Mus musculus: one gene and its partners. The protein of the gene in region 2 purifies or fractionates together with the protein of the main gene of each other region. This does not show direct contact. Links are inferred from orthologs where the notes say so. Each region holds a gene or a part of one and is shown on either strand. Other genes may lie near its edges. The genes, in order: Rsl1d1, Ddx21 and Dkc1.

Evidence for each region.
Region 1: the proteins of Ddx21 (region 2) and Rsl1d1 purify together in Homo sapiens (affinity purification with mass spectrometry; 3 studies listed by BioGRID and IntAct, with this or other methods). This does not show direct contact. The link is inferred for Mus musculus from reciprocal best matches to the Homo sapiens genes DDX21 and RSL1D1.
Region 3: the proteins of Ddx21 (region 2) and Dkc1 purify together in Homo sapiens (co-immunoprecipitation; 3 studies listed by BioGRID and IntAct, with this or other methods). This does not show direct contact. The link is inferred for Mus musculus from reciprocal best matches to the Homo sapiens genes DDX21 and DKC1.

Annotation. Positions count from the first base shown.
Region 1 is NC_000082.6:11,188,683-11,199,245, forward strand, and holds the end of Rsl1d1 (ribosomal L1 domain-containing protein 1), read right to left. Parts: intron 7,885-10,563; coding exon 7,791-7,884; intron 7,715-7,790; coding exon 7,592-7,714; intron 6,030-7,591; coding exon 5,778-6,029; intron 5,056-5,777; coding exon 4,798-5,055; 3' UTR 4,355-4,797; downstream 1-4,354. UniProt on the Homo sapiens protein: Regulates cellular senescence through inhibition of PTEN translation. Acts as a pro-apoptotic regulator in response to DNA damage.
Region 2 is NC_000076.6:62,578,657-62,588,495, forward strand, and holds the end of Ddx21 (nucleolar RNA helicase 2), read right to left. Parts: intron 9,468-9,839; coding exon 9,348-9,467; intron 8,882-9,347; coding exon 8,808-8,881; intron 7,029-8,807; coding exon 6,869-7,028; intron 6,110-6,868; coding exon 5,975-6,109; intron 4,443-5,974; coding exon 4,398-4,442; intron 3,952-4,397; coding exon 3,694-3,951; 3' UTR 1,591-3,693; downstream 1-1,590.
Region 3 is NC_000086.7:75,090,187-75,101,231, reverse strand, and holds the start of Dkc1 (H/ACA ribonucleoprotein complex subunit DKC1), read right to left. Parts: upstream 5,379-11,045; 5' UTR 5,121-5,378; coding exon 5,105-5,120; intron 4,645-5,104; exon of another isoform or gene 4,600-4,644; coding exon of another isoform or gene 4,518-4,599; intron 4,399-4,517; coding exon 4,331-4,398; intron 3,998-4,330; coding exon of another isoform or gene 3,950-3,997; coding exon 3,863-3,949; intron 2,771-3,862; coding exon 2,679-2,770; intron 2,470-2,678; coding exon 2,285-2,469; intron 1,203-2,284; coding exon 1,138-1,202; intron 800-1,137; coding exon 673-799; intron 243-672; coding exon 112-242; intron 1-111.

The DNA of each region.
Region 1 (10,563 bases), on a different chromosome or scaffold from region 2:
AGTTCAATTCCCAGCAACCACATGGTGGCTCACAACCATCTGTAATGGGATCTGATAATCTGTTTTGGGTCTTCTGGTGTGTCTAAAGGCAACTACAATATACTCACACACACATTTATGTTTGTTTATGTGGAGTATACTGTAGTGCACTGAGGCACTGCATTAAGACTCTATACCAAAACCCTTCCAGACAAGCCATACAAAGCAAGAAACCCCTCTGCTCCATTTTGTAGTTGATTTGTTGTTGGGGTATTTTGCCTGCACGAATCTGTGTACCATTCTGTGCTGGTGTCAGAAGGCTTCAAATCCCTGGAACCGTAGTTAAGGGGAGGCCTCCTGGAACCGGTTGTGGAACTCTTGAAAAATTATTGAGCTGTAGTTCTTGTGGTAATATATATTTTGTTTTCTTATTCCTTTTATCTTTATTTATTTATTTATTTATTTATTTATTTATTTTTACGACAAAATTAGTCACTTTTATTTCAAAGAAAACAGTACAAACAAGTATGCAAAAATTAAGTTTCATGATTAAATACACATAAGGTAACATGCATACTTGACGTCAAATCCACAGTTAGCCGATTACAGGAGCATAAAGGAACTGGCAGAGCTGAGAGCCTGTTGCTGTGCACAATTTAAATGTTTGCAACCTGAAATCAAAACTGCAAAACTGAGCTTCTTAGAAGATATGTAAAAAAACTAAACATATACCTCAAGTGGTACAGAAACACAGACTCTCCAGTCTGTGCCAGTACCAGGATGTGCCTGCCATCCCAATGTTAGTGTGTTCCTATGGATGCTGGGAGAGATGAGACAGGACAAACGCCACAGGCCAAGGCAGTACCCTCCACACCGACGGGAGGTAGAGGCACATGGACACTGCACTGAGAAGGCTCCTCAGTAAAGCAATGCTCTCTTCTGGGACTGATTTTTAAAGACTATGTGTTACTCTGTTCCCTAAAAATAATGGGAAAGTTCTGTTTTAACCCAAACAAAACCAGAAGACCCAGCACCCTGCTGTGCCTCAAATGGGTGCCACAAGCATTCTGCTCTCTGGTAGGTCTGGGATGTGACTCACTCTAATGGCCAAAGTCAGAACTCCCCAGTGTGTGCTCTGAATAGTGCTCCTCATGTGAGGCAGGGGGTGCTCTACCAGACAAGCTGATAGTGTTATCTCATTAGAACTGTCTAGTGTTTGAGCCCCGACACACTCATCCTACGAGCTTCTGTTGATTCGTGCCTGGATCGTTCCCAGGGATTGCAGGGAGTCTACTGTCATGAATATGGTGGTGCCACTAATGCTAGCATCACAGGTGAATTGAAGGGAAGTGGCCAGAAAGGGCACGAGTCACCCAGAGCCACGGAGTGTCTGCAGAACCATAATGATGATCCTTTAATATGGGATGAGAAGCCTTGCTCAGGAAGGCAGACAACCACATATGGCTTCAAGACCAAGGTCCTCTGGGGGGGCCTTGAGCCCCTCACCCACAGGCCTGGGGCACTGGCACCAGCCCCAGGAGTCCACAGGTTGACTGGGTGGTGGCATCACCTGCGCTCACAGGCACAGTCACAGCTTGTCATCGGTCATCTCTAGGAACTGTGCACACACGTCCAGGACACACTTGCCCTTAGGACTGAACAGGAACTTGTAGTAGCTGCCATCTGCACAGATAGCGATGACTGCATTGGGCTCTGTTCCAAAGGCACAGATGCATGGCGAGCCTGAAGGAACCTGAAACTTGGAAAAACTCCATTTGGAGCTGAAGTATTTTGGAAGGAAAGTGGCTGATGCCAAACTATACTGTTATTGCTTTTTGGATCTTCGGCTACAAAAATGTGCACAGTGCCGTGATCACTGGACACACAGATGAGAGAAGCATCCTGATTGAAGTTGATGCAATAGATATTGGCTGCTTGAGATCCTCTTCGTAGCTCCTGGATTAAATGCCCCAATGAAGTATCAAATATTCTTATAAGGGTCCCTTTTTCAGATGCAGTTGCAATTCTTGTTCCCTGTAAGTTGAGAGCAATACAGCTCAGGACACCCTCATGTGCGGGAATGTCCTCTGGTGGCTTTTCAGTGTTGGCAGGTCCACAAACTGTACATGGCCAGTGTGAGTGTCAGGGAAGGCAAGAAGGGAGTTGTTACTGTTGGGACACAGGACACAGAGGCCTTTAGGATTATAGCAGGTTTCAAAGACGTGCAACTGGTAGGGATTGTGTGTGAGTGTGAACACCTTAATCATGGAGTCCAGAACCACCACAATTCTATCTCTGCAACTTGACAGCCTTGACCTCTGTGGAGAATTCTCTCAATGACTGTCTTCTTCCTCAGATCATCACCTTGTTGGGAGGGTATTTCAGTTTTTTTTCCACCACCAACTAAAGCTAAATAGTTACAGCAAAATAACATTTCCACATGGCCAACTCCTCCTCCTAAAAATTCTTGTTTCTCTTTTTGAGTGGATCAGTATTATAGACTCGGAATCTATTTTCCATTCCACATGCAAAACACCCGTGATCCTGGTTGAAGCCGGCGTACAGCAGCCCATTGCCATGGGGGTTACATGATAGGAGGGTCTGTGAAACCAGGTCGAGCGGTGCTAGGGCCACCGCGGTCGGAAGCCAGGGTCTTATTTCTTTTATTTACATGTTCCTGATAGCCTAGGCCAAGATCTTAAGCGAGAATGGTAAAAAAACCATCCCTTGAGATTGGGTCACTAGTATGACCTTATTCCCCAGGGAAATCAATTCTTGACTTTTTATATCATTTATAAAATGTAGTCTCCCCTCCCCTAGCCTGAAACCTGCTTGCTCAGGGTGGAGCTTCCTGCTCATTCGTTCTGCCACGCCCACTGCTGGAACCTGCGGAGCCACACACGTGCACCTTTCTACTGGACCAGAGATTATTCGGCGGGAATCGGGTCCCCTCCCCTTTCCTTCATAACTAGTGTCGCAACAATAAAATTTGAGCCTTGATCAGAGTAACTGTCTTGGCTACATTCTTTTCTCTCGCCACCTAGCCCCTCTTCTCTTCCAGGTTTCCAAAATGCCTTTCCAGGCTAGAACCCAGGTTGTGGTCTGCTGGCCGGACACAACAATAAAACAGTTATGATAGATTAAAAACTTTCCCAACAATAAAATTTCATATGGCTACACCTGTGTTATCAGAGGTGGGTTTTGGTATATGGTAAAGAAAGTCTTAATTAGAAAGAATTAGTTTAAATTTATGCATTGAAGATTTATAAAAAATCAGGCACTAGATGTTGAATAATTGACCATATGGGGCTGGAGAGCTAGCTCAGTGATTAAGAGCACTATCATAAAGATTAACCTGCTCTTGCAAATATGCCAGTAGCCTTGAATGACTGCCTCACTGAATACATCCTTTTAGAATTGTTATATTTTGATGATTTATATTAATAATGATGTTACCTGTTCTGTATGTGATTCACTGAATACATAGTTTCAGAGTTGTAATGCTTGGATGATTTTTGTTGGTATTTGTGATTGATTCACTGGATACAGTTTCTAAGAGATGCAATGTTTGGATTTTAATGTATAAAATCCCCTGCTTGAGAGCTCCAAAATACAGTCGGATTCAAATTGCCTCTGTGTTTGTCTGTCAACACCAAATCCTTACCCACCTTCTAGGACCCCCATACCTGACTGGGGTGGTTTGTGGCAGAGAGCCAAAATGATGGTCCTGGGAATTGAACCTGAGTCTTCTGTATAGCAGGGCCACTTGAACTGTGTCTCCTGTCCCGGAGTTGGAAAAAAAAAAAAAAAAACCTCATGTATATGAGTACGCTATCTTCACGTACACCTGCATACCAGAAATGGGCATCAGACCCAATTACAGATGGTTGTCTATGTGGTTGCTGGGAATTGAACTCAGGACCCTTGGAAGAGCAGCCAGTGCTCTTAACCACTGAGCCATTTCTCCAGTCCCCCTGGAGTTGATTTTTATGTTTCAATCCCTCACCAACCACTCAGGGAATGTTTGCAGAAATTAGCTGACCTGCCCAACTGGAAAGCTGCTCCAACATGTCTTCAAAACTAGTCAGGTGCTGGGCGTGGTGGTGCACGCCTTTAATCCCAGCGCTCGGGAGGCAGTCAGATTTCTGAGTTCAAGGCCAGCCTGGTCTACAAAGTGAGTTCCAGGACAGCCAGAGCTATACAGAGAAACCCTGTCTCAAAAAAACAAAACAAAACAAAACAAAAAAACCCCAAAAAACAAAAACAAAAGTAGTCAGGTGAGATGTGAAATACCAACAGTACAGCGACTTTACACAGAAGGGGATGTAATAGTTTAATTTTTAAAAAAGCAAACATACAGAACCATCAGCAAATACACTGAACAATTTAAAAATATTTTATTGTCTCAAACCCCTAGTTTGTACAATAGAAATATTAAATTCAGAGGCACCCACAGAAACTTCTCAAAAACCATTTAAGTCCCAGACTCCTTGTTAAAAAGGCAGTGATGGAACCAGCAGCAGAGTACCTTTTGTTGGGTGGGCTTTGTTTGACAGTCCTGGGTACTGAAGCCAGGATATTGCATATGCTGGCAAAGTGTTATACCATCAGCCCAGGACTTAAATCTGGCCTTTAAATACTGAATCCTGCTTTATCCCAGGTGACCAAATGCTTTTGTAGAAAATAGGCTGGCCTCAAACTCACATACATCTGCCTATCTCTGCATTCCACAGTGTGTGAGTGTGCCACCACACCCTGTCTAACTATTCTGAAAAGCTCTAGGTTAACTCTGATGTCCTTCATGCCAATGCACTAATTCTAGTTTGAGTGGGCCGCCTTGGTTTTTTTGTCTCTGGGTGTGTTGGAAGCCTTCTTTCCAGATTTCCTGGGAGTAGAGAAGGAACTGGCCTCTGGCTTTCTGAATTCCTGAACATCCTTTTTTTGCTTCTTCCCTGAGGTCCCAGGGGCGGAGGCTTCTGGAGTCTCTGTAGCCAGCAAGGCCTTCCTTTTCTTACCCTTAGGTGTACTTGGATCAGATTTCGATTTTGGAGTTTTCCCTGTGATATTTTCTTGCATCTTAAAAAAGAAAGAGAGGAAATTAAGTCTAGAACAATAAAGAACAATATCTAACAATCAAACCTAAGGAGCCACTACTGTGCTTGCAACCCTGCGTGTATTCAGTGTGGTAGAATGAGGGGCTCTTTCCAGCACCAGACATATTTTCTTTCTTTTTGAGACAGGGTCTTACCTGGTTGGAACTCATCATGTATTCCAGGTTGGGTTCAAAGTGATAATGCTCGTGCCTCAGCCTGAGGTTCCAGGCACATGTGTAGCCTTTAGAGTATACTCCTACTTCAATATTAGAAACATTATACCAGTAGGTTGTATTGTGCTAGCAGCAGCCACACTCTGTGAGAAGTCACATGGACTGATAGATACTTTGTATGTCCTGTTAATGACATCTACATGAGATACACTTGGAGAAGATGCCCCATTGTCAAGTAGCGCAGGCTTTCAGATTACTCAAGATGCTCAAGTAAGTAAACCAGTAACTGCCTTTCTGGTTCCTAGAATTAACTCTCAACTTCATTACTTAGCACTTTTTACTTTACTTTTCCCCCTCCGAGACAGTGTTTCTCTCTGTGTAGCCCTGGCTGTCCTGGAAGTCACTCTGTAGGCCAGGCTCAAATGCAGAGATCCTCCCACCTCTGGACCACAAGTGCTGGACCCCACCCGCATCACCTAGCAGTTTTTGCCTGAAACCCAGCAGCTGCTATAAATATAACCACTATTAATACCTTTACATTTTCTTTATCTGGAGTCTCTCCTATTGGTACCAGTTGTGGAATTGCTTCTTCACATTCCTCTGTAACTTTCTGCTTTTTGTGCGCCTTGTTGGTCTTTTTCTTCTGGGCTCCTGGGCTCTTCGCTGGAGCACTGCTAGCTAACCCACTCTGAGTTAAAAGAGATGTAGCCTTCTTGGACTTCTTCCTTAACATTTTGCTTTCCTTCTTCAACTTTGCATTTTCACGCTTTCTTTTCTTTAGTTCCTACCAGAACACAAGATAAAATTTTAGTAGGAATCATTCACAGAAAACAGATGGCACAGGTTTAGAAGCTGAAGCCGAGGATTCACAAGTTCCCTGAAACATCTTTGACCCACGCAAACAGTTATACCTCAGTCTGTTTGGAGGGTCAGAGGTGTTTCAATCTGTAGCTCAGAAAGGCTTGCCTTGAAGATAACCCTCTCCACCTGCCTGTCATGCGCTACAATTACATGCTCAACACGTAGCTTTCTATTTTGACTTGGACAGGGACGGACGGACGGAGACACACACACAGACAGACACACACACACACACACACACACACACACAGTGTAGCTGAAAGCTGAAAACAGTACCCGTCAGCATGTTAACTACCTGGGAGGCTGAGGCAGGAGGATGACAACCTCAAAGGCCAGTTTGAGCTATAGTTATTGAAGTTTAAAACTTAGACTCTGTTTCAAACTAAAAGAGAGACGTGTTATACCACATCTGCTGTGTCCAAGGTCCCATACTCAATACCTACCATGAAAATGAATGTATGCATGCAACCAAGAGAGGTGGAAGGTAAGGCAGAGAGCAGGCCAGCCTGGTCTACAGAGTGAGTTCCAGGACAGCCAGGGCTACACAGAAAAACCCTGTCTTTAAAAAAAAAAAAAAAAAAAAAGTCTACGGAATCCTTTCCTATTAGGAGCTACACTCCAGAATAAATATAAGCAGGAAGCAGAGCCCATGGCCACTAAGCTCAATTTTGGTTTCAATCATTACTTAGCAGAATGCCTTTCACTCTCTTCCCAGCAGTAGAATACTAAGACAATATGCAACTCCTAGAAATAAAGAAAAAAAGACATGAAACAAAACACAGAGATGAAAAATTCAGTAGAGACAATTAGCATGGCCAAAGAGAATTCAAAACAACCCCACTCTAATCAGTTATATGTCTCCTCTTCATCACCCTTCATTCTGTTTTGGAAATATCACCTGTAGTATTAAGCCTGTAAGTGTGTGTGTGTATCAAAAGTTGGGGGTTGGGGAGAGGACTCAGTAGGCCAAGTATGCAAACATGTCAGACACATAGAAAGACACAATGTTTGGCATCTGAATCTTAATTACAGGCCAGAATCTTGGGAGCTCTTGGCCAGCTGGTCCAGCCAATCAGTGGCATCCATTGAAAGATCTTGTTTCAAAAACGACAATGGATAGCAACAGCGGAAGACATTCAATGTTGTCTAGCACACAAAATGAAGATGAGTCTTGTTAGGGCTGGAGAGAAAGCTCAGTGGTTAAGCCATCTGTTTTTTCAGAGAACCCAGGTTCAATTCCCAGTACCAAGACAGCAGCTCACAACTCCAACTCCAGAAGATCTGACACTCACAAACACATATGCAGTCAAAACACCAAGGCACATAAAATAAGCCTGAACACCCCGCTTAAGATTGAATCTATACCTTAATTTATTAATTTATTTGAAACAGGGTCTTATAGCTTAAGTTAGTTCTGAACTTGCTGTGATCTCTCTTGGCTACACATTATTAAGCCCCACCCAATATTATAACTTTTATACTAACTTGCTTCCTCAAACTACGGAGGGAAACAGCGTTTTCATCCTGAGATGTGACAAATGAAGAAAAGATGGGCAGGGAAACCGACTTCTCAGTTTTCAGGAACAACAGTTTCACACTCTGCCATTTCTGAAACAAAGAAAGAATGTCATTTATACACACTCTGCTTTTTTAAAATGGAAAACATGCACTTGCCATACTGTACCTCTGGCAATTTTTCTGAAAGCATTTCTGAGACAGCTAGGATGTTGTCAACGATGTGCTCAGTCTCCATTCCAGTGTGACCAATACGGATCGTACTAGAATTTAATAAAGCAATATAGTTTTTAATCTTTAACTTTTTTATTTTAAAACTCCACTCCCTGAGGTAAAACACCACCATGCTGAAAGAAACACCCACCCACAGGTTGGACCACAAGATGGCTCTGTGGGTAAAGGCACTTCCCACACAAGCCTGACAGCCTGAGCTAAAGCCATCAAGTTCAATCCCAGTGACTTGAGTGTAAAAGAACTGACCCTGGAAAATGCCTTCTGACACCTACACTCAAATACACAATAGTAATAAGACAAAACAGGAAAACCCACATTGACCCCAAAACTGTTCTGGGAAGAAATCACTCCCAAAAGCCATCGACACCTCCTAGTTTGCATGTCCTATCCAGCTGAGTCCTTCTGAAGTAAGAAGTTCTCGTCTCTCATGGATAACTTATTTTTAGCAGAGACCAAAGCATCTCTGCAGTTACGGACAGGGCCCAGGAAATGAATGGGAAGCCCAGTAGGGCTCCTATAGCACTGGAGCTACTCCCTCACCAGAGGCTCACTGCGGAGGCATCTTAGGGAATAGCAATTCCCAGTTTTTTTTTCTTTAGTCAGACATTGGCTGGCTGGCTACTCTGTATGTGCAGGTGTGTAAAGCTGTTTGCCCAGGTGAAGAAAAGAAGAGGAAGAGACAAGACAGGAAGCCATTGTGCTCGGCAAAGCAAACGGAAACAATAACTCACCATGCAGTACAGGCTACCCTCAAACCAGAGGACCTCTTAGCCCAGGCTCCCCTGTGGTCGGATAATGTGAGCCATTATATTTGGTATCTCTAACCTTCTCTGACACCAGCCTATAACTCAAGGGTAGGAGGCAATGACAGGCCCAATGACAACTCCTTAGTTATTTAACTGAAGCAATCAAGGGACTTCCATCTTGCAGACAGCATGCAATGGGAATCTATCTCTATTGCTTGATATGCTAAGCCTGGACCCACACACTGACCCTATCTTTGACCACTTAAGGTTGGAAAGCAATTATTATCCTGTTTTTAAAGCTGGGTGTGGTGGCAGACAAGCCTTCAACACCAACATTCAGGGTAGAAGTCAGAGGATCTCTGAGTTCCAGGCCATCCAGAATTACAGTGAGACCCTATGTCAAAACAAGAACTGCGCTGGAGAGATGGCTCAGTGGTTAAGAGCACTGACTGTTCTTCCAAAGGTCCTGAGTTCAATTCCCAGTAACCACATGGTAGCTCACAACCATCTGTAATGGGATCCAATGCCCACTTCTGGTTCATCTAAAGACAGTTACAGTGTACTCATATAAATAAAATAAATCTTAAACAAACAAACAAACAAAACCCCCAAGAACTGTTATTTTAATAATTTATTTTGAGACAGGGTCTCAATATAGTCTTAGCTGGGCTGGAACTCTTTATGTAGACTAAAAGTTTGCTTCAGACTTAGATATATCAGTCTCTGCCTTCTCAGTGCTAGGATTAGAGGGATGTGCTGCCATGCCTGGTTTACATGTATGTGTGTCTGTGCATGTGAACATGTGCCTGCCCTTTTATTGTTTCCCTTCAGAGATGAGGACTGAACCCAGGCCTTAAGCACTCTACCACTGAGCTAAATCCCAAATCCTGTAGGTGTTCTTTAGGGCCAGAGACATTCAATCCCTAGAGGAAGAATTACAGGTTGTTGTGAGCCACAGGTACTACAAGTGTTGGAAATCATACTTGGGTTCTCTGAAGAATATATGAGCCATTTCTCCAGTTCTTTTATTTCTCTAGTGTGTGTTCTGTATGTCACAGGACAATTTGCAAGTATTGGTTCTCTCCTTATACTAGTGTTGGTCCTGGGAACCAAACACAAGTTGTCATGCTTGGTGGATAGGTGTCTTAAACTTGAACCACCTGGTTGACTCCAAAGGTTTTTTCCTTAGCTTAGGTGTAAGGCTCTACCTAGCTCAGGATCCTGGGTGAGGATGAACTGAAGGAATCAATGTGTAGCTACTTCCTCTCAGTTGAAACATTCCTCCACAGACACAAAACCAAACAGGCTCCACCCCAAGGCTATCTGAGCTCCAGGCACCTTCTAGGGAGTTACCAGCAGCTGCACAGAACTCCAGTGGTACAGTTTCCATGACAACCCCATGTGTGGGTGGGGCCGGGGCTGTAAGTAACACCATATGTGCCACTCTAGGTCAGCACAACAAACTCACTGTTCATCAAGACAGACCTGTACAATCACTTCCTTCTGCCCTACACAGGGTGAACACATATCTTCACCTCTCTCCAGGAAAATCAGACAACAAAGACAATGAACTCAGTCGGGCTGCGGTGGTGCACGCCTTTAATCCCAGCACCTGGGAGGCAGAGGCAGGCAATTTCTGAGTTTGAGGCCAGCCTGGTCTATAGAGTGAGTCCCAGGACAGCCAGAGCTACACAGAGAAACCCTGTCTCAAAAAACCAAAAAAAAAAAAAAAAAAAAAAAGACAACAAACTCATTAATGGGGGATTAAAATTACTTCTAAAGCTTTTTCCCCCCAGAAGACTTATTAAAAACAAAACATTTAGGTTTTAATAGAAGGTCCTAGTTTCTTTTTTTTTGGGGGGGGGGGGGCAGGGAGACAGGGTTTCTCTGTATAACCCTGGCTGTCCTGGAACTCAGAAATCCACACGCCTCTGCCTCCGGAGCACTGGGATTAAAGGCATG
Region 2 (9,839 bases):
TACAAAAATGTTCAGAATCAGAATGATTCTTAGGGGTAAGGTACTAGCCTATCGTAAAGTCAATCCCTAGCTTAAATGAAATTTAACACTAACATCTTTCGATAACTGCTCAAGTTCATAGGCAAGAATCTTTCACCACTAATGTATTACGCTATCACAGTTAAAAATTATAGTTGTAGGAAACTACAACCCAGGTACCCAGGTCTCAGGGATCAAATTCAGATCCTCAGGCTCAGCCTCCGCAGCCTTTACTTACTAGAGCCACCTCACACCACCACCGCCCAGTCCCTGAAAATTCTATAAAGGCTCTGAGCTAGGCATGGTGCCAATTATCTGCAGGCTGACACAGGGGCCAGTGTTGATATGTATTGTAATGCTAAATTCTGTAGCCTATGATTAAATTCTCATGCTTACCAGCTTTTGTTGTACAAACTTTATTCCTTAATTTAAAACTTAATTTGGTTAAATAAAAATGGCTACAGCTAGCCGGGCGTGGTGGCGCACGCCTTTAATCCCAGCACTCGGGAGGCAGAGGCAGGCGGATTTCTGAGTTCGAGGCCAGCCTGGTCTACAAAGTGAGCTCCAGGACAGCCAGGGCTATACAGAGAAACCCTGTCTCGAAAAACCAAAAAAAAAAAAAAAAAAAAAAAATGGCTACAGCTGCCGGGCGTGGTGGCACACGCTTTTAATCCCAGCACTGGGGAGGCAGAAGCAGGCGGATTTCTGAGTACAAGGCTAGCCTGGTCTACAAAGTTCAGGACAGCCAGGGCTACACAGAAATCCTGTCTCGAAATAACAAAAACAAACAACAAAGGCTACAGCTAATAACTGCAGGGATCAGAGGTAGGTGGGTTTCCTTGTTGAGCATTGGAGAGAGTAGAACAAGAGCCAGGAGAGATGGACCATGAGCACACGGCAGGAGAAACAGCAATTACTTGGGGGAACACTGCTGGGAAAGAAGCCAGGTCAGCAGTTGGAAAAATAGATTAGAGATTATCCCCCAGTAATTGTCAAAGCCAAATAAAATAACCATAGTGTGAGTCTCACTTATTTGTAAGCTGGTCAGGGATAAGCTCAGAATTGGTTGTGCTACAAGTCTACATAGTTCCAAGACAGCCAGAGATACACAGTGAGATCTGTCTTGAAAACATTTATTAAATGTAAAATTATTTTAAGTCTTAAAATGTATGTACATACATATTGAAAGGTAAACATAGGATGTTAGGGGAAGAGAGCAATTCACAAAACTTGAATGGATGATTCAAGAAATGAACCTGTAGAAAATGGCCCACTGAAGGGCTGGGGGGATGGCAGTGACTGCTCTTCCAAGAGGTCCTGAGTTCAAACCCCAGCAACCACACGGTGGCTCACAACCATCTGTAATGGGGGATCCGATGCCCTCTTCTGGTGTGTCTGAAGACAGTGAAGGTATGTTAACATAGGATTGCGTTCATTTTTATGACAATTTAGCCAAGGCTAACTCCCCGTTATAACCTGATCTGCTTTAATGCAGTATACACAAAAGGCAAGCCAAGCTACTAGATTTACAGACCTAGCAGTCACTGCTATAAAATAAAAGCCACCAAGAACTAAATATAAAGCATCGGTATCTTTATTATGGCATAATGCAGTACTTTATACAGCAATTCATTTTAATGTAAAAACATTTTATGTACAGTTTCAGGAAAACATACATAGACAGCTGGAACATAAAAACAGGCTGTAATTTCAAAGTCCAGATTTATTTGATAAAGTGGAAAATATTTTCTCTGTAGAAAATAGTAAAAATGATAACATTTCCCAACAAGCCCATTTAAACCAAATAATAGTTGAATTATACATATAAATATTGCTTAGTTTCTGCAATCCAAAAGAAACTTCATTTGTTTGAAAAGTCATGTTTCATTTAAATTGTGTCAATTGGAATTCTTCCCTTCTTCCCCTTCACTGTTTGGTTTATGACAGATCATTTTTCTATAGGGTAACCCATTAATTCAAAATGTCTTTTAGCCTTTCCTCCTGCAAGCAGAGCCAGTATGTCCTTTCATCATCTTGAACTGGCAAACTCTTTTATCCCAACAGTGACATGCTTCATTAAACCATGCCCACATTTCTTACAAGCTACAGTTATCAACAAAGAAAACAAGAAAAACAAAACCCAACAAATCCTGAGCACAGAGGATGAGCCATCTGGTCAGAGTTCAAGGGGAAAACTGAATTTAAATAGAAAAAAGGGCACTGCTTCAGCTACCGGGAGCTGATTGGTTATCAGAGCCCTTTAATGCCAGGTAAAGGCCAGTTAGGAGGTAAGGACCATACTAAAATGAAGGTCTTAGTTGATCCAAACAATTAAGAAAAATTAAAAAAAAACCAAAATGACAGTGCGTGGTTCTGACTTTCCTCCCAAGCCTGTTCTAAGAGCCCTGCGCAGAATCTCTAGTACAGCTAGAGGACCCCACCACTCAAGCTTCTGTGCTAGGCGGGATGATTCCCAAATAAAGAACACCAGCAGTAGGCAGGGGCTATGCTTCAGTTCCCTCAAAGTAAGAGCTTAAAATGGCACAGCTTGTCATAGAAGGGCTCTCTGAGCTGTGATAATTTTTCAGAGAAGCTGCTTAACAGAAATAGATTTTACGTTGTGGTTTAAGATCTAAGCCACTGAAAACAAGCCTGTCCCACTGTGCCCCTTTAACAGCCCCAGACTGCACACTAGCAGACACAGCCCCTCCAGGAGCCACGAGTCAGGACCTGCTCACCACTCAAAGCACGCTTCTCCACCTCCTCACCTGTCACGATCAAAGACACCTTTGTGGCTTTTTTGAGATATTTGTCAGCAACACCAACTGAACCCCATGCTTCTTGGTAAATTAATCTTCCAAAAGTGGGGTGCAAGCACTTACATACCATTTATCCAGTCTCATTACTGACAAAAACACCTAGACATGTTAGGCATTTGGGCCTGAACTTTACACTGGGTCCTATAAAAATGTCTTTCTATATACCCTTGTCTGGAGACTTCACTGGAACAGAAAACACCTAATGAGTGTGTGAAGACACTGGAGTGAATCTGCTGTCTGTTCTACGCTCAACACCCAGAGCCGGGCACAAACTATTCAATCAGCTAAGTCTGAAGCGGCTCTTGAAAAGCTCTGCTCAGCATCAAACCTCAGCAGACACATATGAACACAGCAATTGTTTGCAAGAGTCCAGGATGCCAAGGAATGCAAACAAACACATTCCGCCCTGGCTCTTGCAATCCTCCAGAGACTGAGGCATCCCCTAGGGACTCACTTTGAAGGATGAGTAGGACACATGTATAGGGACTAGAGATGCAGTTTAGTTGCAGGGCGTGTGTATACTCTGCCTGTGTGAGGTTCTGAGCTTAGGCCCCAGTGAGTGCACACACACACACACACACACACACAAAGATAAAATTACAAGATCGACACACCAAGATAGGCAGATCCATGGTTGGTTTTACTTTGTAAATCTAAAAGTATGTTGGAAAACGATGCAATGAATTCTTATCCTTTTTCAAAATGAAGAATTTGTGATGGTTAGTGGACAGTTCAGAAGCCTCTCTGCAAGAAAGGGGGCGCTGAGAAGTGGTAAAAAAAGGAAGGAAGCACTCGGGCTTTGTCAGCAGGGTGGACCCTGGGGTCCACAGTGGGAACAGTCCCTTCTGGCCTCTACTCACTGACCAAACGCTTTACTAAAACTCCGCTTCTGGCCTCTGTTGCCACCTCCTGGTCGCTGTCCTCGGAAGTTTCTACTTCCTCCTCGCTGTCCCTGTCCCCGGAAGTTCCTGCTTCCACCCCGCTGTCCTCTGAAAGCACCACGGCTGCCATCACGCTGACCCATGCGGCCTCGATATCCGTCTGGAGGTCCCTCCAGCTCTGGCTGCTCGGTGGCCACGGTGAGCTGCCAGCGTCTCGAATCATGCCACTTCTCCTGTGGGTAGAAGGTTTGTTCCATGGTTTTATTAAATTTGGTAAAGCCACATGAAAAACTAATTGTCACGTCTCTAAGGAACAAGCTGTTAAGTGTTTTCAAAAGCTGCTAGTACCAAAGCCATGTGGCTAGTGTGGGGACAAGCCTTCTGAAGGCCAGTCCTCATTCTACATTTTGGGTTTGCTGCATCTGTCTGAGGTACACGCTCAACACAGCAGCAGCAAGTGTGCAGGGGAGCGCTCTGCAGAGAGCAGCGCTGCAGACGCTGGGCCCAGGTCCTGGAAGGAGCAAGGCAGGCTGAGGCCCAGGTCCTGGAAGGAGCAAGGCAGGCCGAGCAGCAAGGTCACGACAGCACAGGGGGACAGATCTCTGCAGCCCACATTGTCATTCTGCTTTCAGAATGAATACTGTATGGTCTACAAACAGTAAAATCAAAAAGAAAATACCTGTATTTCTGTGACTGCTTCAGTTCGGACATCAAAACAAACCCCCTAAAAACCAAAGGAGGAAGAGTTAAATCCAACCAACACAGATAAACCAAAATACAAAGAAAGTAGCAGGCCCTGAGGCAACGGACCCTAGAGCATGGCTAACTCGAGCTCCAGAGAACAGCAGCAGGAGGGGAAGGGTCTGCAGCTACTCAAGCAGTTATTCATGGCTAGTGTACCCTGCTAACCCAGAGTCAGGATGACAATGAAAAGCAGAAATTAAACTGTCTTCTAGTTTTTCACAATTCAGTTTCCTATGAGAACACTAGAAAAGGGACCTATCTAGTCTACATTGTCAGATCTTTGATAAGCACTTCCCTTATCAGTCGGGGAAGGTGCCATCAGCACCAAATGACTCCTGTAATGGCACAGCTGAGCTATACTTTTCCACCCATGAATTTACCCAGCCACAGCACAGGTGTCTGTAGGTGCTGAAGGACTCTGGCATTTGTGGGCTTCTCCAGAACACTGGGCATTCAGGTATCCAGAGAGGTTTTGCCCTAGAGTAGGTCACAGGCTTAGGCTGTCCATTTTAAGTAATCAGAGTGGGAGAAAATATTATACCCCAAGAACTCTACCATACAAGTAAGGACTGGGAAGTTGCGCTGAGCCTGAGCTCAGTGAAGGACACCGTGGAGTGGAAGACGCTGTAAGTGACTGTGGTGGTTTGAACATGTTTGGCCCATGGGAAGTGGCACTATTAAGAAAGTGTCACTGTGTAGGCAGGCTTTGAGGCCTCCTAGTGCTCATGCTCCTTCTAGTGCAGAAGACTCTCCTGACTGCTACAGAAGTTAGCTTCACCCTGGCTGCATTTGGATCATGATTTCAACCTCTCTGCTCCTCCAGCACAAGGTCTGCCTGCACGCACACAGCACTGTCCCCACCATGATGCTAACAGACTGTACACCAGCCCCAATTAAATGCCCACCTTTATATAAGAATTGCCTTGGTCATAGTGTCCTTGCAGGGCAATGAAACCCAAGACAGTGACCAAGGTCAGCTCCCAGTGGGAATAAGGTGGTGTGTCTGGTATCCTGTAGTGCTGGGTGCTAGGGGTGGCAATGGGGAGCTGGACAAGTTTATCCTCAGCTTCTGAAGATGGCTCATGGCTTCTCTGATCAGGCATCACCCACTTCACAAACATCTTTACCTAATACTGGGCTCTGGGTTTTCCATATGTACACGTGTGTGTCTGTGTGACTACAGAGGGATCCCATAGTCAAAACTATTTCTCTAATAATACTTATCTGCCCTTTTTATTCTCATTTCCCATAAGGTAGCAAAAGCTTAAATGTTTGGGTGCTCAGTCTAGAAGTTTCAAACTTGAACTTAAAATACCAAAGTAAGCTACTCTGTGACATCGGCAGGGAAGCAGTGGGGTGACGGGGCCTGGCACTGTGTGCAGCTTAGGCTGAAGACAGTGCTGAGGACAGCTGTGGAGAGTGAGATCAGCACCCCATCAGGCAGGGAGAGGACACACCTGGTGCCCAGGCTAACCCTGAGGTGTGCTGAGGTCCCGGAGGGCTGGCACTCACCAGTTTTCCTTTGAGGAAGACCATTCCCTTCACTTTGGCATCGATGCTCTCGCCCAGCTGCTCCTTAAGTTCTTTCCAAGCGTAACTGATGTTGGGCATCTCAATGGAGCACCGCAGGATCATGGTCACAAAGCCCTTGGGGAAGAAAGGCACACAAATTTGAAAACCAATTGGCAAAAGCTCTTGCTCTGGGGAGGGAAGGATTTCTAGAGAAGCTCTCCATGACAGCGCAGCCCCCAGCCACCCAATGGATGCCAGTGGACTGGGGCAGTCCTAGGAGGACTGTTGGGAGCACCAGTATCAGTGCCCAGTCCTTAGCTTTCTAAAGGATCTGCACTGGAGGGGGGGTTGAGCATGAGGAATCGACCCATCAGTGAACTTCTTATGCCACATGGGGCTACAATCAATAAACACATCAGATTTCAAAGTGTCAAAGGAATTCACCACTGTAACTATCAAGTTAGTGCATTTTAATTTCGTTCTAGCACTTTTTAGCATATTTTAACTCTCTCATTTGTCTGTGAGCTCACGTGTAGAAGCCAGGGATCAGGTCAGAAATCTGTTCTTCCTCCACTATAAAGATCCCGTAGATGGGATTTAGGTGGTTGTAAGGCTTGATGGCAGGCTGTTACCTGCCCAGTGTCACTGGCCCTTCATTTAAAAGAAAACTGAAGTAAACCATTACCCATAGCAGTCAGCGTCATTTTTCCTTCCAACCCACCCCCGGGAAACACCCATCTCTTCTGCCCCTATTGATTCTGTCTTTAACTAGGAAAATGGCAAAACACAGCCAGTGCCTTCGTGCCTCTAGAAGGGGGAAGCCAATGAGGAGGTTCAAATGAACTCTTCTAGTTTTGCTTAAGTCCTTTTATAAAGTACCAAAACCTTACTTACTGCTTGCGAGTTGATCAGGGAGCGCTGATCGACTGATGTGGCTCCTGAGATGTGGGCCAGAGCAGCTGCCAAGGCCTCTACAGCTCCCTTCTCCTCAATCAGCTTCTCAGCTGACTGCTTGAAATGGCTAATGGCAGTGGGAGGCACAGAATCCAAGAGCCTGTGTGTGAGAGAATAAGACAACACTTCAGTAACAAAGTAAAGGAGCTTTAGAATGGGCCTCAGCATGCTGGGGGTGTGGCTAAGCTGGCATGAAGAAGTCCTGGGTTCAATCCCTAGCACTTCATCAACTGGAGGTGCTGCCACATTCCCAGCACTGAGAACGCAGAGGCAGGAGGATCTTAAGTTCAAGGTCATCTTCTACTACAGTGAGCTCCAGGCACTCTTGGGATATAAGACTCTGCCTCACTATAAGACACAATGGGGCTCCAGTAGTGCATTTGTTTGCATTTATTGTACCCTTTGGGACAGGACTTTATTTTATCTTCCTGAAAACCTGCTGTGCAGAGCAGACTGGCCTGACACTCATGGTTCCTGCTGGGATTCCAGACATGCTTCACCATGCCCAGCCCCCATACTGCCTTTAAATGAGAGATTATAAAGTATTTAACTCAAATCAAAACACCGATCACAAGCAAGTATGTGATGCTACTTTTAAAAGTAAAAAAAAACTATAGCCAGTTACATTCTACACTTTTCACAAGTGCTCTACAGCAGATCACAGAACACGTATGTGTGCAGGCTGGCTTTGTCTTGGCCATAACAAATCAGCACATCGGTATGCTAAGTAAGGTAAGCTGCACTGGCAAAGGGCTGATATCCTAAAGAACATTTCTTACCCACTACTAGAATCTGCCTCTTCTTCCTGGTCACCAAGCCCATATTTCCTTAACTAGTCAGTATCCCACAGTATCCCACGGTACCACAGGTCCTTAAGGAAAACATGCTACCATAAAATCAATTTAAAAATGTGGCTTGGGCCATCTAAAGACTGCCATATCCAGGGATCCATCCCATAATTAGCTTCCAAATGCTGACACCATTGCATATGCCAGCAAGATTTTGCTCAAAGGACCCTGATATAGCTGTCTCTTGTGAGACTATGCCGGGGCCTAGTAAACACAGAAGTGGATGCTCACAATCAGCTATTGGATGGATCACAGGGCCCCCAATGGAGGAGCTAGAGAAAGTACCCAAGGAGCTGGGGGGTATGTGCAACCCTATAGGTGGAACAACAATATGAACTAACCAGTACCCCCTGGAGCTCGTGTCTCTAGCTGCATATATCGGTCAGTGGAAAGAGAGGCCCATTGGTCGTGCAAACTTTATATGCCTCAGTACAGGGGAACGCCAGGGCCAAGAAGTGGGAGGGGGTGGGGGAGCATGTGGGGGGCTTTTGGGATAGCATTGGAAATGTAAATGAAATAAATACCTAATTTAAAAAAATGCGGCTTGGGGAAGACTCCCAAGGTCTCCTAATACTTCCTTTGCCTATGGACTTCCTTGCCTACTTACTACCCATTCAAACTATACACTTTAGTAGAAACGAACTTCCTACTAAATCTTGGGTGATCATAGTTATCAGCCACCATGTGGTTGCTGGGAATTGAACTCAAGACCCTCTGGAAGAGCAGCAGTCAGTGCTCTTAACCATGGAGACATCTCTCCAGTCCCATGTTACTCCTCATATGCACTTAAAAAATAAAAAATAGCCAGGCGTAGTAGCACACGTCTTTAATCCCAGCACTCGAGAGGCAGAGGCAGGCGGATTTCTGAGTTTGAGGCCAGCCTGGTCTACAGAGTGAGTTCCAGGACAGCCAGGGCTACACGGAGAAACCCTGTCTCGAAAAACCACTAAATAAATAAATAAATAAATAAATAAAATTAAAGGTCCAAGAAGCAGCATCAAAACAGACTTTGGTGGTGGTAGAGACTGTACCTGATGGCGTCTTTGCTGGAGGCTTTTATTATTTCCGTTGCAGAAGGAACACCTATCCGTTTAAATTTAATTCCCTACAAAAAAACACAATTTCATGGTTTTCAAAGATTATTGTTTCTACTGAGGTTAAGTAATTTTTTCCTTAAATCTATCAAATAAACCTCTTTACTCTGTACCCTGTTTCCCGGATTAATAGCTCTAAGGAGTTATGTTCTAGGCTGAGGGTGAGCCACAATGGGAGATTGTCTGATGCTCTTCTCATCCGTAGACTATGGGATTGGGGACAGAACTAATTCTACGGGTGAACACCCATCTCTTTCCCTCTCTGTGGGTGATGGACTCTGCATCCATCTCTGATCCTCTCCTCCCACCTCTCTACTCTGTGCAGCAGCTTTAAGGGAAGCTCTTCAGTGCAAGTTAGTGAGCAGGCCTTCTACCATGGACCAACAAAGAAAACACAGCTTGCTGCCATGATTCCAAGGACTGACTTTGCCTTCAGAGCTTAGCACGTGTTGAATATAAGTTTGGAAATCACTTTACCGCTTTCTGCTCCACTTGTGCTAACTGGTACTCTTCTTTGTTCTGGTAAAAGCAGATGCAAACTCCTGTCCTTCCAGCTCTGCCTGTCCGCCCCGAACGATGAATGTAAGACTCCACATCCTGTGGAAACCAAGCGTATGAGTGACATGACAAAGATTAGGCAGCCTGTGCAGAGCTCGGTGACAAAACTGCTCAAAGAGTGGTCCCTGTACTGTGTGCAAAGATCCCAAGGTTCTGTGTATTTCCAAGCTTCAAGTGGCTGCAGAAGAAGCATTCAAGTATATTTTAGTAGTAGGTCTCATTTACTCTGTACACTCACAAGCTAGAATGTTTCTATTCACAACAGGACATGAACCCATCCACATGTCCAAAAGATGAGTGGATAAGAAAATGTACACAGCACAACGTGAGATGATGAGATCTGTGGGAAGATGGAGACGCTGACGCAGAAGACTGAGTGCACAGCCTAACTGTAATCTCCCTCTTTCTCTC
Region 3 (11,045 bases), on a different chromosome or scaffold from region 2:
TACACATAGAAACTCTGTCTCAAACAATAAAACAAACAAACAACACAAGAAAAAACATCAAAAATCCCCACAAAACCCAAATCCCAAACTTCTAGTCCCACAACTGCATACCTTTTCACTCATGACTCCAGAACGCACCCTCCGAAGTTCCTGCATCTGACCACCAACTCCCAGTAACAAGCCAAGGTGTACGCATAGTGTCCGAATGTAGGTGCCAGCTTCACAGCTTACCCAAAAGATTCCTAAGACAAACACCACACACACAGAGAGAGACAGAGACAGAGACAGAGAGAGAGAGAGAGAGAGAGAGAGAGAGAGAGAGAGAGAGAGAGAGAGAGAAGTAAACACATGATTTTCTTTTCAAACCTTGGGCGTGATGGAGGCTGATTTTAATCTCAAGAGGCGGAGACAGGTGGATCTCTATTGAGTTCAAGGACAGCTTGAATTGCAAACAGCAATTTCCATAACAACCAGAGCTACTTAATGGAGAGACCTAATCTAAAACAAACTAACAGAAAGACATAGGGAACAGACATAGGGAATAGAGTATGACTACACAATGTACTCAAAAGTTTCTACTACTAACAAGAGAATCCCTGATAATATATTATCCCCCCCCCACCTGCTTGTGGATCTAAAGCAATTCAGCTTGATATATATCTAACAACTCACCTAATCTTCTCTCAGGATCATATTCTATCATTTTGCTCTCGTAGATAGTCCTCACTCGAAGCTGCCTCTTTACTGCAGCAATAAGTGGGGGTCGCTGAAACAGGGCACCTGTCAGAGTTTCTAGGGCCTAAGAACAAAGCACAAACAAAAAATTATGTGGGCTCATTTTAAAATAAGACAAAGGGGCATATTTAGGGAGTTTAAGAACATAATTCAAATACAAAGTTTTCTTTCATAAAATTAGTTCAGTTTCTTCTTTTTCAACTACGAAGGGATAGCTCAGCACTAATCAGAATGTCCTTCACAGAAAAAGCATGGCTAGAAGGCATCCCTAGCACCAGTCATTCATCACCCAGGAATCTAGGACAGCCCATTCAAAGAGCACAAGAGACACTAGCCAGGAGAACTTTCCTGGAGTTCAGAGACCCAAATCAAAGGTATGCTCCCTACAAGTTATAGACTTACCCTAGAAAGCTGAGTACCCCCTTCAATAGCATTGTGCAGCCGGACAATTCCAACATACTCTTTGCCTGAAAAAATGACAAAAGAGTAGTCAGGTGTGGCCACTGAGTTTTCTGTTTTACAAATGTTCTATCACTGCCACGTGAAGTGGCAGAAGCAGTAGGGAATCCAACGTCTGTTTCAGTAAAATCTGTACTGACAGACTTAATGTTGTAGATAGAGAAAAGAAATAAAGACAAATTTTCTTGGGTCAGGAATAGCCCACGCCATGGCTATAACCTAAACCCAGAAGTTTAGAGGCTGAGATGGGATAATTGAGATTTCCACAGCAACATGAGCTACACAGAAAAGCCTTGTCTCAAAAATGAAAGAATGGTCAGACAGTGGTGGCGCACGCCTTTAATCCCAGCACTTGGGAGGTAGAGGCAGGTGGATTTCTGAGTTCGAGGCCAGCCTGGTCTACAGAGTGAGTTCCAGGACAGTCAGGGCTACACAGAGAAACCCTGTCTCAAACCCCCCCGCCCAAGGAAAAAAAATAAAAGAAAGGAAGGAAGGAAAGGATGGAAAAAGCTCGCTCACGTTCACACACACATTTTAATGCTCAATGTGATGGCAGACACAGAGGGAATACCTACTGTAGAGTCTAACAGGAAAATACCTTGTACTTTAAGCAGAATTTTCTTGGGTGAAAATGGGGAAAGGAGACTTGAGATAGAAACATTAGAAACATGACCTGAGTTAAGAAGCAGTAAACATGGCAGGTGGTGGTAGCGCACGCCTTTAATCCCAGCGCTTGGGAAGCAGAGGCAGGTGAATCCTCGAGGCTAACCTGGTCTACAGAGTGAGTTCCAAGACAGCCAGGGCTACACAGAGAAACCCTGTCTGCAAAACCAAGAACACAATAAAGAGCAGAACCAGCAAGCATACAAGTGACCTGCCGCAGCGCTAGGAACAGGACAGTTGATTCAATATCCACATGCTTAGTGTCTCAAACTCTTAAAGAACCACCAGATTTTGGCAGAGAACAACAGAAACCAATTCACACTCGTGCTTTAAGATTTTTTCTAAAGAAATAGTTTCTAAGAGCCAAAATGTAGAAGTGAAACAAGAACAGAAACAAGTATAGCCCCCTACTCTCTCTTTTACAAACCTGCACTCTGTTGTGATTTCACCAAACGAGTGGCTCGTTCAATGCACACAATTAAACAACCAGTCACTTTGGGATCTAGTGTGCCACTGTGGCCAGTCTTCTCTACCCGAAGTATTCGTCGGATCCAGGCTACCACCTCATGGGAAGAGGGGTTAGAGGGCTTGTCAAGATTAATGAAACCGGTCCTAAAATAGAAGAAAAAAAGGTAATCACCTCCTGTTCTTGTCTAAAAAAAATAGCATGAAGACATAAAAAGAAAAGCAAATCACATATTTAGGTTATATATTCAGGACAAAGCTGTTCTAAGCTGCCACTACTACTCCCTTGAATAACAAATAAATTCAGTGAGAGCATCAGTTTCAAAAGACTTTAAGTTTGGACAGAGCATGCCTACCTGATATAGTCCCCAATCTCCCTCTTCAGAGGATTTGAACCACAAGGAAGAGGTGTATAGTGTGCTGTCCTTACATTTAGCTTATCAAAATTCTAGAAAGCAATAACATAAGTTTAATAACATATCAATAGAAGTAAAACAAGAGTCAGTAAATAACACCACCAACCACTGTAGCCCTTCAAGCCCATAAATGTATGTTGTTCCCATTATTAATGACACACTACTAAGCCTTCCTACATACTAGGGAAAACTGCAATACTAGTAACTCACGACACTTGAGAACAAACTTTGCAAGTTATCTTTTGACTTCTACACGTATGCCATGTGGAGCATGCACCCCCAACATCCCACCCACACACTGTAATCGATGAAATAAAAATTTATATTAAATTTATATTTTAAAATCTTCTTTGCTAGATGTCTTAACTTTATAGCTGGTATCCACTTTGTGAAAATTATAAATTTTAGTTCAATGGGTTACTCAATATCACTAATTAAATCCCTAAATAATAACCTATAATTTCTATGACATGCAACCGTAAACTAAGCATGCTTCATAGAATACCTCCTATAACTCCCTGCACATCATCCTAAGAGAAAATAATCATGAGCAATTAATAGATTCAGTGAGGTTAAAAGACTGGCCCATGGCTGGGGAGATGGCTCAACAGTTAAGAGTACTGACTGTTCTTCCAGAGGTCCCGAGTTCAATTCCCAGCAACCACATGGTGGCTCACAACCATCTGTAATGGGATCCAATGCCCTCCTCTTCTGGTGTGTCTGAAGACAGTTACAATATACTCACATAAAAGAAATAATTGTTAAAAAAAAAAGTGGCCTAGGATCACATATACTCTTATTTCAAAGGCGTCTGGCTTCAAAACCCCATGTTCTTAGGCACTGAAACAGTCTACAGGAGTTGATTTCAAAAGTGCAATTGTCTAAAACCTAACAGCAATTGACATTTTGGTGACATACTATATTCCATGCTACATCATTTAAAGTTTTCTAAATGTAAACTATGCTGGCAGTGAGCATTCCTTTTTTGAGACAGGGTCTCTTTATGTAAACTAGGCTTGCCTGGCCCACTGGAATAAAGAGCATGCAACACAACACCCCAGCAGTAAGCATTAACTAGAAATAATATGGAATTCAAGCATCCATCTGATACACAGAAAACATACCTTTAGTAACAAGGGCCACTGAGAAGTGTCTAATTGAGCCACTTTAGATTCTGGTTTGATAAGAAATTCTTCAGCATGTTGTATTTCCTTCAATAGAGCAGAAACATTTCTCAGCTTAATTTTGGAAGTGCATGCCTTTTAAACAAGAGGAAAGGAGGGGTGTGATTTCTGAAACCCAGGTCACTCAACTTTAGGAAGATCAAGTTGAATCCAAATATTTTAACAAAACCATGGGTCTGCTGATGGAGTAAGGCAGAGAAATTCAGGGTCAATAGCTCACCATTTAGCATGCCATGCATGTTAGAAAATTTCTCTGGGAGTTGTATGATTTCAGGTTTTTGCCCGTTCTACATAATGACCACTAAGTACTAGCATATTGATTGAGAATATTTAAAAGCACTTTCCCCCTTTAATGTGCTGTTTACTAAATTATCTCAATCAGTCGAAGCAAAGTAAATTTCTACTCACGGCAACATCATCTTCTTGTAATGGCTTCCGGTCTTTTTTCTTCTTATGCTTCTTTGGGAATGTAATTACTACAAGAAACAAACTCAATATTTGAAGATTTTGAAAACTAAAACCAAAGTTTAAAATTAACTCTAAAATCGGGACAAAGAAAACATTTTAAAGTCTGACATTACTGGAGAGAACTTACGTTTGTGAGGCCAAACACTAGGATGGCTTGGCTGGTAAATGACTCTAGCACGTGTTGGCTTCCCTTCGGGTTCTCCACGTGGCTGTGGCAAGGCCAAATATTACTTAGGGAAGCACTTGTCCACAGGCTGGAAAGTTTCACAAACGAACACTGCACTGTCCATAGGGGCTTGTGATCTCTTAAAGTTTTTCTTGTAGGTCTGAGTTACACTTGCTTCCAACTCCTCTGTTCCTTTCCTTCCTAACCCTTGCTCTGCACCTTTGCTACCCTCATTTCCATAATGTCCTGCCTAGTGCCAGCAGAAATGCTACCGCGTCTCCTTATCACGACACAGTCGCCTCCACGGCTGATGCCTTTGGGAGGGGACCCTGGTAGAATCTTTTGCACGAAGCCAGGATCTAATGAAGCCTAGTCACTGGTCACGAATGCGTGCATTCACAGGTAGAGCCAGAGCCGAGTGGTGAGACAGCCAAACTGCGAGCGGGAACACGGGGAACCGCGGGTCACGATGCAATCTCACTATAACTAGCTCCGGGTCGTGTAGGAGGCCCCACAGGTCTCATGGCACTGCCACCAGAACCTCTTACCTTCTGCATCCGCCATCTTGAACTGCACCGCGTGCGTCCCGCCCAAGCCGCCACAAACTAAGAACTGTAGACTCCTATGGTGTGAGACCCGTCCGGGCACGTCATTAGGACCCGCCCACCGTTGCACCGCCCCTAGCTTGCTGATATAAAAAAGGGACGTAGAGAAGAGGAGGAGGAGGAGGAGGACAGGACGGGGTACGGGGGCAGGAATCTCTACGAACCCGCGGACTGTCTACTCAATCCCATTGGCTGATTCGGCCACGGAGGTGTGACCGCACATGCGCCTGGAAGCTCCCCCTCACTCCTCCCCACCCCAACCCCACACTGCCAACCCTTGGCAGAGCGCCTTGGAACCTTGGCCAGGCTTCTGCAGTAACAGACTACAGCGGGTGGGCTGTACTGTACCCTCCTCCAGTCTAGCTTCAGCTTCAGCACTTGGACATCCTTCTTAGCGCGCTATAAATAGCTGGTTTTAACTCAAACAGACATTTTTTTGCTTGCTATCATGTCAGTTTCAATTGAAAAAGACATTGAGGTACACAGTGTCAAAGTGAAAGCTGTTTACTCCTTGAAATTCCTATTAAGTTATGGCTGTATTGGCCAATAGGAATTGAGTGCAAGCCTCGTGTAAACTTTTAAATTTTCTAGCAGCTACATCAAACTAAAAAGGTTGAAAGTGATTCTGGTAGTTAATTTTACATAACCCTGCGGATCTGGCATGTTATTTTAATACGGAAGCAATATGCAGCAGTGTGTAATGTTTTGCTTTTTTCTGTATGAAGTTTTTTTCCAGTGTGTTTCACACTTAACCTGTACACTTAAGTTCGAATTCCACAGCCTGGACATCAAGTGCAGAGCTCTAGTGGCTGAGATAATGTAACAGCCAGAAAGTAACAGCTCTAGGATTGAGCCCTGACTTTTGTCGGGTAGAGTCTTCTGGCTGTTAATCCGAGCTACTGCCTTTGAGATAAGATCTCTGGAATATCCTCCTTCACCCTGTTTCCTATTCTACCTCTGTAGATTCTTTTGGCTTTCTGGATTCATAACCCATATCTAGTGAATTTGATAGATCATTAGTTATCTTCATTGTAGATGGAATCATTTGCCAATAGTTTTCCAGTTAGTTGTTGCTGACAAAAAAAAAAAAAATAGTATTCTTTTTCTTCTGATCTACAATGCTAAAATCAGATTTTTTCAGTTTTTTTTTCTGTTTTTTTTTTCTTTTTTACTATGACTTACAATGGGTTTTTATGTCTTTATGGAATTCATTTTGCTAATAGTGGTAATGATCAGAATTGACTATTAACAGATAAGACCCTTAGAATTAAATGTTATTTTATAATGCTCCAGTGATAATTAATAGGGTGAGTAAATCTGAAGTACTCATTTGCCATTTGTCCAGTGCCTTCATCTTTGTCCTGTATCTCTATGCTCAAATCTTTTTGGAGAGATTTTGCTTTCGGAGAGTTCCAGAACCCGTGGATTTTTCTTCACTCTTACTTCTCTAACCATCATTATAATGTCTCTATTTCTCCAGTAGCTTCCTGAAGTCCCAACTTTTTCTACTTTCCCTAGATTGTCTTAATAAGCAGCCTGAAAGTATCATTAAACTTAGGTCCTGTTTATGCTTAAAATACTTTTTAAGGGTTGATGATAAGGTTCAACAGTGAAGTGTGAGTGAGTGAGTGAGTGAGTGAGTGAGTGAGTGATGGATGAGAGCAAAGAAAGAAAAGTTCATTCCCCTCAGACAGATTTTCTTAAGCCAAGAGTTAACCTCTGCTTTGCCCCAGGACACAATTTAAAAACCTAGAAGCTGCAGGAGAAAAAAAAATGTGTTTGAAAACAATCTTAAGAGTTTGTAAATGTGTGTCTCTGCACAGGAAAACAAAAAATCCAGTCTCTTCTCAAAGATTAGGGATTTAAGTCTCTGAAGTTTCCCTCTCCTAATTTAGGGTTGGTCAGTTTGAAGAAAGATAGAGTGGTTGATTAGCCTACTGTTTTGTAGCAAGCCCTGAACCAGCCTTGAATTTGTTGAGCTAGTTCACCAGCAGGGTCTCACAGGTGGAAGACAAAGGCTTACAGGGCTTTTGTTTTATACTGCTAGGCCTTTGTCTCAAATCAGGAGTGTGAGGAAGAAAACAAGCCATCTTGGAAATTTAACACTTTTGTTGCTAGTCATGGACCCTCATCCTATCTGTGTGCCAAGAAAAGTATCTTAACACCTGATGCTCTCTAGTTTCATCAATTTTCCTGCTAATGGCTCAATTCCATTTCATCCTTCCTTAAGGCTGAATAAAATTCTACTATATATATATATATATATATATATACATATATATATATAATCCCATATATATGGGATTAAAGGCATGTGTCACCACTGCCCAGCAATAAGCATTGATTTAAGAAAGTGTTTTAGCCTAGTTTAGTGATGAATGCCTTTAATCCAAAAGGCAGGCAGAGCTTGAGTTCAAGGCCAGACTGGTCTATAGAGCTAGTTCCAGGACAGCCAGGACTACATACAAAAATCCTGATTTGAGCGGGGCGTGGTGGCACACCCCTTTAATCCCAGCACTCGGGAGGCAGAGGCAGGCGGATTTCTGAGTTCAAGGCCAGCCTGGTCTACAAAGTGAGTTCCAGGACAGCCAGGGCTATACAGAGAAACCCTTTCTCGAAAAAAAACAAAAACCAAACAAACAAAAAAACCCAAAACCAAAAACAACAACAACAAAAAACAAACAAAAAAAGAAAACAAAACAAACTAAAACAAAAAGTATGTGTTTTGTTAGTATATTGTACTGGCTAGTACATTGTTTTATGTGTCAACTTGACACAAGCTGGAATTATCACAGAGAAAGGAGCCTCCCTTGAGGAAATGCCTCCATGAGATCCTGCTGTAAGGCATTTTCTCAATTAGTGATCAAGGGTGGGAGGACCAATTGTGGGTGGTGCCATCCCTGGGTTAGTAGTCTTTGGTTCTATAAGAAAGCAAGCTGAGCAGGCCAGTAACATCCCTCCATGGTTTCTGCATCAGCTCCTGCTTCCTGCCCTGCTTGAGTTCCAGTCCTGACTTCCTTTGGTGATGAACAGCAACATGGAAGTGTAAGCTGAATAAACCCTTTCCTCCCCAACTTGCTTTTTGGTCATGATGTCTGTGCAGGAATAGAAACTCTGACTAAGACATATATACTTTTAGATTTTGATTCCAGACTATATTTCTATACACTATTTTCACCACAATCTGGCCAGTTTCCAAAACAATATTCCCACAGTTATTTGAGAAATCATCACTGAACTTGGATGACTCCTTCTGGTACTAAATCATTTACTAGCTAGAGATGTTATCATGTATCATCACTTACTGATGCGGCAATTTCTTTTTGCTGTTAGACAAACTTCGCAGAATGCATTTACACAAGTCTACACCTAGGAAGTATAGGTTAGTTACTGTGTGGTCTCCTGATACAATCATAATATGAATAAAGTTTATAGTAAGCTTTTAATAATGTTAAAAGTGTAGTACACTTGGGAGGCAGAGGCAGGTGGATTTATGAGTTCGAGGCCAGCCTGGTCTACAGAATGAGTTCCAGGACAGCCAGGGCTACACAGAGAAACCCTGTCTCCAGAAAAAAAAAAAGAAAGAAAGAAAAAGAAAAGAAAAGAAAAAGTGTAGTACAATAAAAACATGATCCAAAAAAACCCCAAAACAAACAAGCAAACAAACAACAACAAAATACCAAACAAACAAACCAGCAAGCTGGGCAGTGGTGGTGCACACCTTTAATCCCAGCACTTGGGAGGCAGAGGCAGGTGGATTTCTGAGTTTGAGGCTAGCCTGGTCTACAGAGTGAGTTCCAAGACAGCCAGGGACAGACAGAAAAACCATCTCAACAAAACAAAACAAAACACCCAAACAAAAACAACAACAAAAAGAAACAAAACAAACAAACAAACAAACAAACGGGGGCTGGAGAGGTGGCTCAGCAGTTAAGAACATTGATTGCTCTTCCAGAGGACCTTATTTCAATTCCCAGCAACCACATGATGGCTCACAACCATCTGTAGTGGGACTCAATTCCGGTGTGTCTAAAGACAGGGACACTATACTTATATTTATAAAATAAATGAATCTTTAAAATTTATAAAAATTATAAAAAACAAGTAAAATGTAAAGCTATGGTCAGGTGTGGCAGCACAACCCTTTAATCCCAACACTTGGTAGGCAGAGACAGATGGATCTCTATGTGTTCAAATCCAACATGGTCTACAATGAGAGTTCCAGGACAACCAGGGGCTACATAGAGAAAGCTTCTCTCAAAAAAAAAAAATCACAAAACAAAACAAAACAAACAAAATCCCCAAAAACAAACAAATAGACTAATAATAAACTGGACTTGATTAAAATTTAAGCCTTTTGCTCTACAAAACACATTGTTAAGAGTACAATAAAATATGCTACAGACTGGGAGAAATATTTTCAAATTATGTACTCTGACAAAAGACTGTGAAGGGAGCCAGGCAATGGTGCGTCATGCCTATTTCTGACATGTGGGAGGCTGAGACAGGAAAATTGACATGAGTTCAAGGCTAGTATGGGCTACGTAGTGAATATCAGGCCAGCCTAGGATACAAGTAAGGATTTATTGGATCATGGTTCTTTGTTTTGTTTTGGTTTGGTTTGGTTTGGTTTTTCGAGACAGGGTTTCTCTGTGTAGCCCTGGCTGTCCTGGAACTCACTCTGTAGACCAGGCTGGCCTCAAACTCAGAATGAACTTTTTTTTTTAATTTTTAATTTTTAAAGATTTATTTATTTTACATGTCTTAGGGTTTTACTGATGTGAACAGATACCATGACCAAGGCAACGCTTATAAGGACAACATATATTTGGGGATGGTTTACAGATTCAGAGGTTCAGTCCAATATCATCAAGGTGGGAGTATGGCAGCATTCAGGCAGGCTTGGTGCAGGAGGAGCTGAGAGTTCTACATCTTCGTCTGAAGGCTGCTAGCAGAATACTGACTTCCAGGCAGCTAGGATGAGGGTCTTAAAGCTCACGCCCCAGTGACACACCCACTCCAATAAGGCCACACCCTCTAATAGTGCCACTCCCTGGGTCGAGCATATATAAACTATCACAATACATATGTGTTTTTGTGTACCACATGACTGCTCAATGCTGTCAAAAAATCAGAAGAGTGCATCAGCTCCCTTGCAACTAAAGATACAGATGATTGGTAGTTATGATGTGGGAGCTGGCAATTGAAACCTAGTCTAAATCAGCAAGTGCTAAATCACTTCTCCCTGTGTGTGTTTTCATTTTTAAAATTTATTTATTTTTATTTTATGCATTTTGACTGCATGTATGCCTGTGTGAGGGAGTCGGATCCCCTAGAAGGATAGTGACAGATGGTTATGAGCTGCCATGTGGGTGCTGGGAATATTAACTGCTGAGCCATCTCTCCATCCCATTGTGTTTTCTTTTCTTTTCTTTTTTTTCTTTTTTTTTTTTTTTTTTTTTTGAGACAGAGTCTCCCTGGCTGTCCTGGAACTCAATATGTAGAGTATACTGGCTGGCAAACTCACAGAGGTTCTCTTGCCTCTGCGTCCTGACTAGAATTAAATATCCAGTTTTTCATCAAGTATAGTGTTAGTCATAGGTCTTTGTAGATATGCTTTAACAAGTTAAAGACTTTCTCCCTCTGTTTACTGTGAATTTTTGTCATGAATAGGTTCTGTCAGATGCTTGTTTTGCATTAATTGATATTAGGATATGGCTTTTCTACTTTTGCCTATCAGTCTAGGAAAATTGTGTTTATTGGTATTTGATTACTGAATATGCCTCTCATCTTTAAATAAAGCCCACTTTATCACAGTATAGAATTATTTTGTGTTTTTTTTTTTTACTTCTGTTCCTACTTTTCTTAGGATTTTTGTATATAC